2 linked regions of the Neurospora crassa OR74A genome follow. The protein of the gene in region 1 binds, or shares a complex with, the protein of each later gene. Links are inferred from orthologs where the notes say so. Each region holds a gene or a part of one and is shown on either strand. Other genes may lie near its edges.

What was found.
Region 2: NCU03572 (region 1) and NCU07290 share a complex: the UniProt entries of both Schizosaccharomyces pombe proteins name them as parts of the RSC complex. The link is inferred for Neurospora crassa OR74A from reciprocal best matches to the Schizosaccharomyces pombe genes ssr3 and rsc7.

Annotation. Positions count from the first base shown.
Region 1 is NC_026502.1:186,399-190,820, reverse strand, and holds the start of NCU03572 (SWI-SNF complex subunit), read left to right. Parts: upstream 1-1,499; 5' UTR 1,500-1,875; coding exon 1,876-2,113; intron 2,114-2,948; coding exon 2,949-3,229; intron 3,230-3,291; coding exon 3,292-4,422. Other genes in the region: stk-23 (serine/threonine protein kinase), read left to right, coding at 1-282, 397-855. UniProt on the Schizosaccharomyces pombe protein: Component of the chromatin structure remodeling complex (RSC), which is involved in transcription regulation and nucleosome positioning. Controls particularly membrane and organelle development genes.
Region 2 is NC_026504.1:4,505,544-4,509,886, reverse strand, and holds NCU07290 (nuclear localization protein), read left to right. Parts: upstream 1-1,486; 5' UTR 1,487-1,620; coding exon 1,621-1,675; intron 1,676-1,841; coding exon 1,842-2,859; intron 2,860-2,928; coding exon 2,929-3,439; 3' UTR 3,440-4,161; downstream 4,162-4,343. Other genes in the region: NCU07289 (transcription initiation factor IIB), read left to right, coding at 1-685. UniProt on the Schizosaccharomyces pombe protein: Component of the chromatin structure remodeling complex (RSC), which is involved in transcription regulation and nucleosome positioning. Controls particularly membrane and organelle development genes.

The sequences.
Region 1 (4,422 bases):
CTTAAGCTGGGCGACCTGATGGTTGTGTCATCGCCGATACCGCACAGCCCACACGGCAAGGAAGGCGGAGAAGGGCATAAGAAGTTGGCTCGCTTCTTTGGCGGCAGTACCACCAAGAAGAGACAGCGGCTTGTCATGATCACCTCGAGCGGCCGTATCGTGTTTGCACCAGCCGGCGGCGAGGAGAAGAAGGCGAAGCAGGAGATTTCACTTCTGGCTTCGGATTGCACGTGGAAAGCCCAAATCGACGCTAAGGGCCAGCCGGTTTGGTGTGTTGACACGGTGAGTAAAATTACCAGCCCCTTTCCCCGATATCCTGTGGAATATATATTCCCCCCTTTATTCATCAGGTGATATCGATATTGATGCTAATGTTCAAGGACACCCCAAATCCAGGGCGGCGTACACTACACCTTTGAAGAACCCAAGTCCTCGGAAAAACAACACAAGGACAAATCCGACAAGTCATCAGACGGAGGAGCAGGAAGAGACGGTGCCAACAACAGCAGCAGCAGCAAGTCTACAGTAGACGAGTGGATCGAGTCGCTGGAGCGGGCCAAGGACCTGGCGCTTTCCCAAAACCTGGTAGGTTCCAACGACAACTTTGGAGACATGTCCATGTCGTCCAGCCCGGCGGGTTCCATGGTGAATATCGGTGGCGGAGGTGGACATCATCACAATGGAAGGGGCCATGGAAACTTTAGTGGCGGAGAGGGCGGGTACAGCATCAGTGACCGATCGGGCCGCAATCAGCTGACCAAGAGTCAGGCGAGCCTGGATGATAGCAGCAGTGTTACAAAGCGCAATCGGTTCAGTCGGAGGCAGTCGAAGAATGGGTTGGGGGCTGCTTTTTGAAGGTTGTCCTTGACCTTGGTTGGAGGAGGAGGAGGACGAAGAAGTAGAAGAGGAGGAGGAGGTGGTGGTGGTGGTGGATGAGGAACCAAGGTCAAGGTTCTATCCGATGAGAAGGAACAAACAAATAGAGAGAGGCAGCAGCAGCAGCAGCAGCATATAAAGACAGCAAGCAAGCAAGCAAGCAGACAGCGACGGCAATCATTCAGTCAGTCAGTCAGTCAGTCAGCCAAGCAGCAGCCAAGGCAGCGAAAGATGGGGAGAAGGGAAAGGTACGAAATTCTAATACTGTTCACACCTTGTACATGCAAAAGCAAATATTGGATAAAAGGTATTGCGATTCGGACGCTAGATTCTTGTTGTATGGTTTTTCTTTTTGTGACCTCGTCAGCGATTCTTTCTTTGCTTCTCTTTATCTGTTTGTTTTTAGTACAAGTAATTCTTGACCATCTTTTGTTGGACGTTGAAATGTCAACTGGTCTCTCTCAGGGGTGTCACATGACCCTACCACGAGTGCCAAGACGTGACATTTGCCAAACTTCCTGCCCTGTGGATGCGGTACTTGGTCAATGTATCTTTTGCGCCTTAACAATTACTGGCTCCACCCGCCGACCCCAACTCTGAACCTCCATCAATCAATTGCTGGCCCCGGACTGCGACTGCGACTGCGACTGCGACTTGCGACAAGCCCGCCCGCCGCAGCTAACGAACGACGCGATCGAAACGCGTTTCCCTTCGGTCCATCCTTGACACCAAGAACGGAACCACGTACGACGCGAAGCGAAGAATCCATACCCAACACCGACTACTCAGTACAGTAGTACTACACGCGTAATCACAACTACAAGGGAGGACACGAAGCACGTAATACAGCAGAAGAAGAAGAGGTGACAAGCAACCAAGTGGGAAATTCGGTTACCAAGTCCTTCTCCTCCTCCCCGCAGCGCAACAAACACGAAACCGAAATCGAGTACACGCGAGTTTCAACAAACACAAAAAAGAACAAGACAAGGACAAGACAAGATGCAGCCCCTGCAGCCCCAGTACCGTGGATACGCACCAGGACCACCACAACCCATCGGACCACCACCACCGGGTCATCACAACCCCCAACTTGTTGGACCGCCGCAAGGGCCGCCGCAACATTCACAGGTCCCTTTGCCTCCGCAGGCGGCCGTGGGACATCATCATGCAGGGCCGGGAGGGGGGCCGCGAGGGGGGCAGCAGCATCATGTGCCACAGCCGAGGAGAGGGGGGATTGGTAAGTCTTTTTTTTCTTTTTTCGTTTTTTTTTCTTTTTTTTCTCTCTCTTTGTTTTTTTGTATCCCTCGTTTTTCTTTCGATTGAGTGCCAAGCGTAAGAGGAAGGGGAAAGATGAACAGTTGTTGTTGATGATGATGATGATGGAAAGAGGACATGTTTGATGCATGAAACGGGCGTGGGACAAACGTCAAAGATCTCCGCTTTTTGCAGATTGCTCCACCGCGACCTATCGACTAGTTCCAAACCTTTCCAATGCTAGACCCGGACGTTCGGGGGAACGATGGTCTATCTTTTTTGAGTCTTGGGAAGCGGGACTTGGGACTTGGGACTTGAATGGAGACGGGTGGGAGGGGCGACGATTCAAACTGACTGGGTCCGGGTCCCCCGTCGTGCGTTCGTTCCCTTGTGTGCCGTGTGCCTGGACACTCCTCCCGCCTACCTCCACATACATACAAGTCTACCCCGTCGGCCGCGGTCGAACGACGGAGCTGAACGTCGGTGCTTCAGGTTTCGCGACGAGCTTAACAGGGAAAGATTCAACATACATACACACTGCAAGCGCGAAATCCCACGCTCCTGCTTCTTGCATCTTGGAACACAAGGAAATTCTTGACAACAAACTTGTGTACCGCACCTTGCCCTGTTTTCTTCCTGGCTTTCTTTCTTGGATACTCTTTTCCCCGCTGGATTATTTTCTTCTATTTTATTTTTTTCTCTTACACCCACCCGACGACGACCCTTGGCTTCTCCCCATTTTCTCGCCCGCCACATTACCGCAAATCTTTGATTACACATTCAACTAACCTCTTCCGGTCTTTCTTCTCTCTTCACAGGGCCCATGATGTCGGCCGGTCCTGCTCACCACCAACTGCCCATCACCCAGGCGCAAATCCAACAAGAATCACACCGTCGCGAGGCCGTCAACCACCTGGCTAAGCTCCGGAGTCGCAAACCTACCGACAAGACCCTACCCGATGGCGTCGAAGAGACTTTGGTGGGCGAGGGCGATGTCGCTGTGGCTTACAAGAAGCTACGCGATTTCGAGAGGCGGCTGGATGCTACCATGAGTCGCAAGAGGTTGGATATCGTGGATTCGGTTAGCAGGAATGCAAAGGTATACACTGTCACTTCTTTTGTCTCGAAGGAGGCTTGACCATTACTGACGCCACTCAACAGCGGTATAAGACACTCCGCGTTTGGATCACCAACAGCGTCGAAGACCAGTACTGGCAAAACAACAACTTCAACGTCGACAGCTTCGACTTCCCCTCCAACCTCGAATCCACATACCGCGTCAAGATCGAAGGCCGACTACTCGACGACGAAGACGAGACCACAAAGGACGAGGAGGATGGAGATAAGATGGACACAACCGACGACAGCACAAAGACAGCAACAAAGTCTGGAGCGAAACCCGTCCCCGCTAAGCCCGGCCAGCGCTACCGCTTCTCCCACTTCTTCAAAGCCCTCACAGTCGACTTCGACCAGCCCACCGCCTCGGGCCGTCTGCCCGTCGACACCACCGCGATAGAATGGAAGAAACCCGAGCGCACGCCCGCCGGTTCCAACCTGCCCGCCTCGGCCGACTTTGACGAGCTGACCTTCAAGCGCCACGGGGACGAGAATGTTAACATCACCATCAACCTCTACCGCCACGAAGACCCGGAGCGCTACGAGCTCTCCCCCGAGCTATCGGACGTGATCGATATGACGGAGGCAACCCGCCAGGAAGCCGTCGCGGGCTTGTTCGAGTACATCAAGTTGATGAAGCTACAAGAAGACGACGAGAAGCGCAACTTTCGGTGCGACGACCTGCTGCAGAAGCTTATTGGGAGAGAGTCGGGACACATTCCCCAGCTGAACGAATACGTCACCCCGCACTTGAGACCACTGCCGCCCATCAAGCTCCCTTATACCATCCGCGTGGACCAAGAATTCCATTCCGCGCCGGACGCCCCCAAACCGACCATCTACGACATCCGTGTCTCCGTTGACGACCCCTTGCGTTCGAAGCACTTGGTGCCGTTCATCCACAACCCCTCGTACGCTCAAACGCTCCGCGAGATTCATCAGCTAGATGAGTCCCTGGCGGTGCTCATCCAAGCCGTCGGCGACTCCAAGGCCAAACACACGTTCCTAACGTCTATGGCCAACGACCCCGTCGGCTTCGTTAAGAACTGGTTGTCAAGCCAGAAGCGGGATCTAGAGGTGATTATGGGCGAAGCCACGAGGGCCGGGGCGGCGGCGGAAGACCCCGTGGGCGACGAGTGGAGGAGGGGTGGGAAGGGGAGTGTTTGGGATACGAGT
Region 2 (4,343 bases), on another chromosome or scaffold:
GCAGCTTATGCAGGCCTATCGCGATATCCAGGGCTTGACGGACAGCATCAACGCTGGTACCCAGGTGGCAAATGCTGCCAAGCACATTTACAAGCTCGTCGAGGACAACAAGGCCCTCAAGGGCAAGTCTCAGGAAGCCATCACCGCTGGGTGCATCTTCATTGCATGCCGCCAAACGGGAGTGCCGCGTACGTTCCGCGAGATTTACAGCCTGACCAAGGTTTCGAAGAAGGAGATTGGCAGGGTTTTCAAGCAGTTGGAATCCTTCCTCCAGAAGATCGGAGGCGAGGAGCATGCAATCACGACCAGCATCCCCACCTTCAACCAGCAATACCAGGGCAAGGGATCTACTACAGCTACCGAGCTTTGCGCTCGTTACTGCAGCAACCTCAATTTCCGCAACTCAGTTGCGGTCGAGGATGTTGCCCGCCAGTTGGCCGACAAGACCAGCACTATTTCGGAGCTGGCTGGCCGTTCTCCCCTTTCCGTCGCCGCTGCGTGTATCTACATGGCATCCCACATCAGGAACGAGTCACGTACGTCCAAGGAGATTGCGACAGTGGCTGGTGTCAGTGACGGAACCGTCAAAACAGCTTATCGTCTCCTCTATAACAAGAAGGACAAGCTGCTTGAGGAGATCTTCCCTGAGGGAGTGCCAAACCTCGACAAGCTTCCTGCGAACTAGGGGCCTCGGGTGCGCGGGTAGTTTGGATAGAGCGTTGGCTCTTGGTGGGCGGCTCCGCTTCTTGATTTCCACGGGACAGAATCGCGGCGTGACAGCATTGCGTTTTCTTAAGCTTGACAGGGTGGTCAGCCTCACTGAGATGACAAGGTTATCCTACTGAGAACGTGGTGGCTTTTAAACTTTGGTTTACGGGCAAAAGACGATCCACAGGCACGTCCGGATTTTCGAGAAGCTTGGAAGCATATTGGTGGTCGGAAGAGAAGCAGGTTATCATATGCCCAGAATAGGGCTGGTGGCTGCGGAGGCTGGTTGCAGCGCGGCAGGACAAAGGGGCCTGGCACACTATGAGCATAAAATGGGAAACGAGGTTAGATCGATCAGCTTCTACTTACCCAGGCATATCGGAAGGGCATTTTCGGGTTTGAAAGTTGATCTTTCCTCGAGGCATTCAGGGGAATTCTTTCGTTATTTGCTATTTGACTTGGCACCGACAGGGACTTGGGGAATCAAGATAGTTAATACAAGATATCAATACTCCCCATATGGAAAACATGAAGTCTAGAAGAGACAGGTTTGTCGAATGTGTCCATAAGCTGGAATCCAGGACTTCAAAGGGATGACTTACACAGTACAGTGCTTGGTTTATCTGGTTGAAGGGCTTTGTCATCGCACCGTAAAGGAATTCACAGTGCGCTTGACCACTACACTGTACACGCCAAGTGGGTCAATGGGCAGTCGCTTCACACGCAAACCACCACTAGCAGGACTGACTGCAGCGGCTTCACGTCTCCCACCTGTCAACCGCGTCTCAGTAATTTTGACATCGTCACCTCCAAACCCCAAACACAACTCAACCGTCCGCCTTGCTCTGCGCCGACACTCCAAACCCCGATCACAGTTTATCGCCAAGCATACAATACGTTAGCTTCGAAATCATGCCTTCCCGGAGATCAGGCCGCGCAGCCGCGAAACGCGCACAACAGGCCCTCGGTAAGTTACTCGATTTCATCATCGTTTATCATTTGGCATTTCCTCCCTCCCTTTGCTTGTACAAATGTATTCCATATTGTGTGGTCCACTCCAACGAATGCAGCAGCCACGCGCAAATCCTTCCATTTCAAACAAGCAGTTACTTATCAAAGCCATGCACAACCAGAAAGCACCCCAAAGACATTCGAAGGCCTAGACGACGAGGATGAGCCTATGCCCGATGCCGATCAAGACGACGCCGAACCATCACAACGAGACGGCGAGGATGATGTCGAGAAGGATGATGAGTCGGGTGGTGATGGACACGAGGAAGAGGAAGCCCCAGAGGAAGACGAGTCGGGCAAGAGCCCAAGCCCTCCCCCAGAGCCTGTCATCCGCCGCCGACGCTTGGGGCGACCACCCAAGAACCGACCTCCCGACTGGGACACTCTGCCGATCGAACCCCCCAATCGTGACGAAAACGCTCCTCGCCGTCGCGGTCGCGGAGGATGGAGAGGCAGAGGCGGCCGCAAGGGCCAGCATTTTCAACCAACCCAGCAATCCATTGACAAAGATGGTACCGTTCTCGACATTATCAACGACGAGGTGGACCTTCCCGAGGACCCGGAGGGTGAGAAGAAGGTCGATAAGCTAGGAAATCTTCAGGATGGTCGCGAGTATCGTTGCCGTACATTCACCGTTCTTGGCCGTGGAGATCGTCTATACATGCTTTCAACCGAGCCAGCACGTTGTGTCGGCTTCAGAGACTCGTATCTCTTTTTCACGAAACACAGAAAACTCTACAAGATCATCGTTAACGACGAGGAAAAGCGGGACATGATCGAGCGAGAAATCATCCCACACAGTTACAAGGGCCGTACGATTGGTATTGTGACAGCACGTTCAGTGTTCCGCGAGTTTGGCGCCCTAATCATTGTCGGCGGACGACGGATCATTGATGACTACGAAGTCGCCAAGGCCCGTGAGGAGGGTGTCGTTGAGGGCGAGCTCGCCGATCCCAACGATATTTTCGAACCAGGCAAGCCTTACAACAAGAACCAATATGTGGCGTGGCACGGTGCAAGCTCAGTTTATCACTCGAATATACCGTCAGTACCACAGCAAAACGCCAAGGTCGCCCCAACCAAACGACGTGTTGCTGTCAACGACGTTAACTGGCAATTGGAACATGCTCGCGAAGCCAGGTAGGCATTCTCTTCTTCGGCAGTTTCCTTGCTACCGGACACAGGAACACTAACATCTCTTCTACGCAGTAACTTCAACAGCATCCTCACCAGCGTCCGCCGCGCCAACCTGAACGGCGTCTATGACATTCACACTAACCAAATGCACTACCCGCACATCATCCAACCTACACATGCCCGCATCACGCAGGTGGTAGACTCTGAAGACGCCTCGTCTTCGTCCTCAGATCTTCCTCTTGTCAAGCCCTCCATATCCCGCAACTTCCTCATCACCGACGTGGAAATCGAGCTGCCACCCGCTGGCATTTCCCCGGCCGCCTACGAGGTACCCTTCCGTACATCGCCCGCCGATCGGGCTGCCTCCGCGCGTGCCGACTTCCTGGCTCCCTTCAAGGGCTTGAGCGCCGTACCTGACGATATCAGGGATCTGCTGCCCGAGGAATGCAGGAAAGCTTTCGACAGTGCGGTGAAGAATGAGGAGGAGTGGTTCGGCAAGTGGGGTGACGAGAAGGATACGACGTGTCGCCGCGAGCCGGTGATCGATAAGGCTATTGTGCCTTATAGCATGAATATCATGTGAGGAGGCATTGTGGATTTTCGACAGATGTCGCGTCTGAAGACCTGTACACAGACATTAGCTTGTCGTTCTTGTTTGGATACAAGCTTAGATTGTCGTGATGACGAATGGTCTATTGCATTTGGTCAGTTCAGGCTCAGCCATTTGCCTTCCACTAGTCTAGTAGACTGCATTGGAACTGGTATGGACGTGACGAAGAACCACACTGAAAGGGGTTTTCTGGGGATATCTTTATGCTCTCGGTATTTCACTTTCAAGATGATGAAGGTTAAGGGACCCGGATGACTTGCGATGCGCTCGGGCTGGGAGCATCCGAAGAGGGGACAACTGTAACGAAAAGTGGAAACCACGTTGGTCGTTGGGGAGGTGGTTCTCATCCATCATTGATTTTCCATTTTGTTTGCCCTACTGGTTTTCATCTCAATGCTTACAGGTCGAGTATCTGTCAGCTGAGCCATTGCGGGTTAGAGCAAGGGAACGAGGAAGTGCTTGGTAACTTCTTGTCTATTTATAATATACCCAGCTTGTAGACATCTTCTCAAGTTCCTCTGTGTACTGCCCATGGTGTCCATGGCTGCGCTGATCAGGGTGATTGGAGATTGGTGATTGGTGAATTGAACTTCGTCTCACTCATTAGACAACGACTGAAGCTACTGCTGCTGTCTATATCAACAAGACCAAACCTAGGGCCACATCATCTCATGTTGGGTAATGACAATATGATTTGAGTGAAGTACATATGGCGCTTTAGCCTCGACTGCTATGACTTCTGCTCCCAACGTTGAGCGTGACGACCCTTTACGCCGTCGGGCGAACGTTCATTCCCATTTCAGCAAAACGCATAACTCACAGATGGATACATTCGTCGATGTACCTACGGTCAGTAGCTAAGGGTTCTCAAGGACAC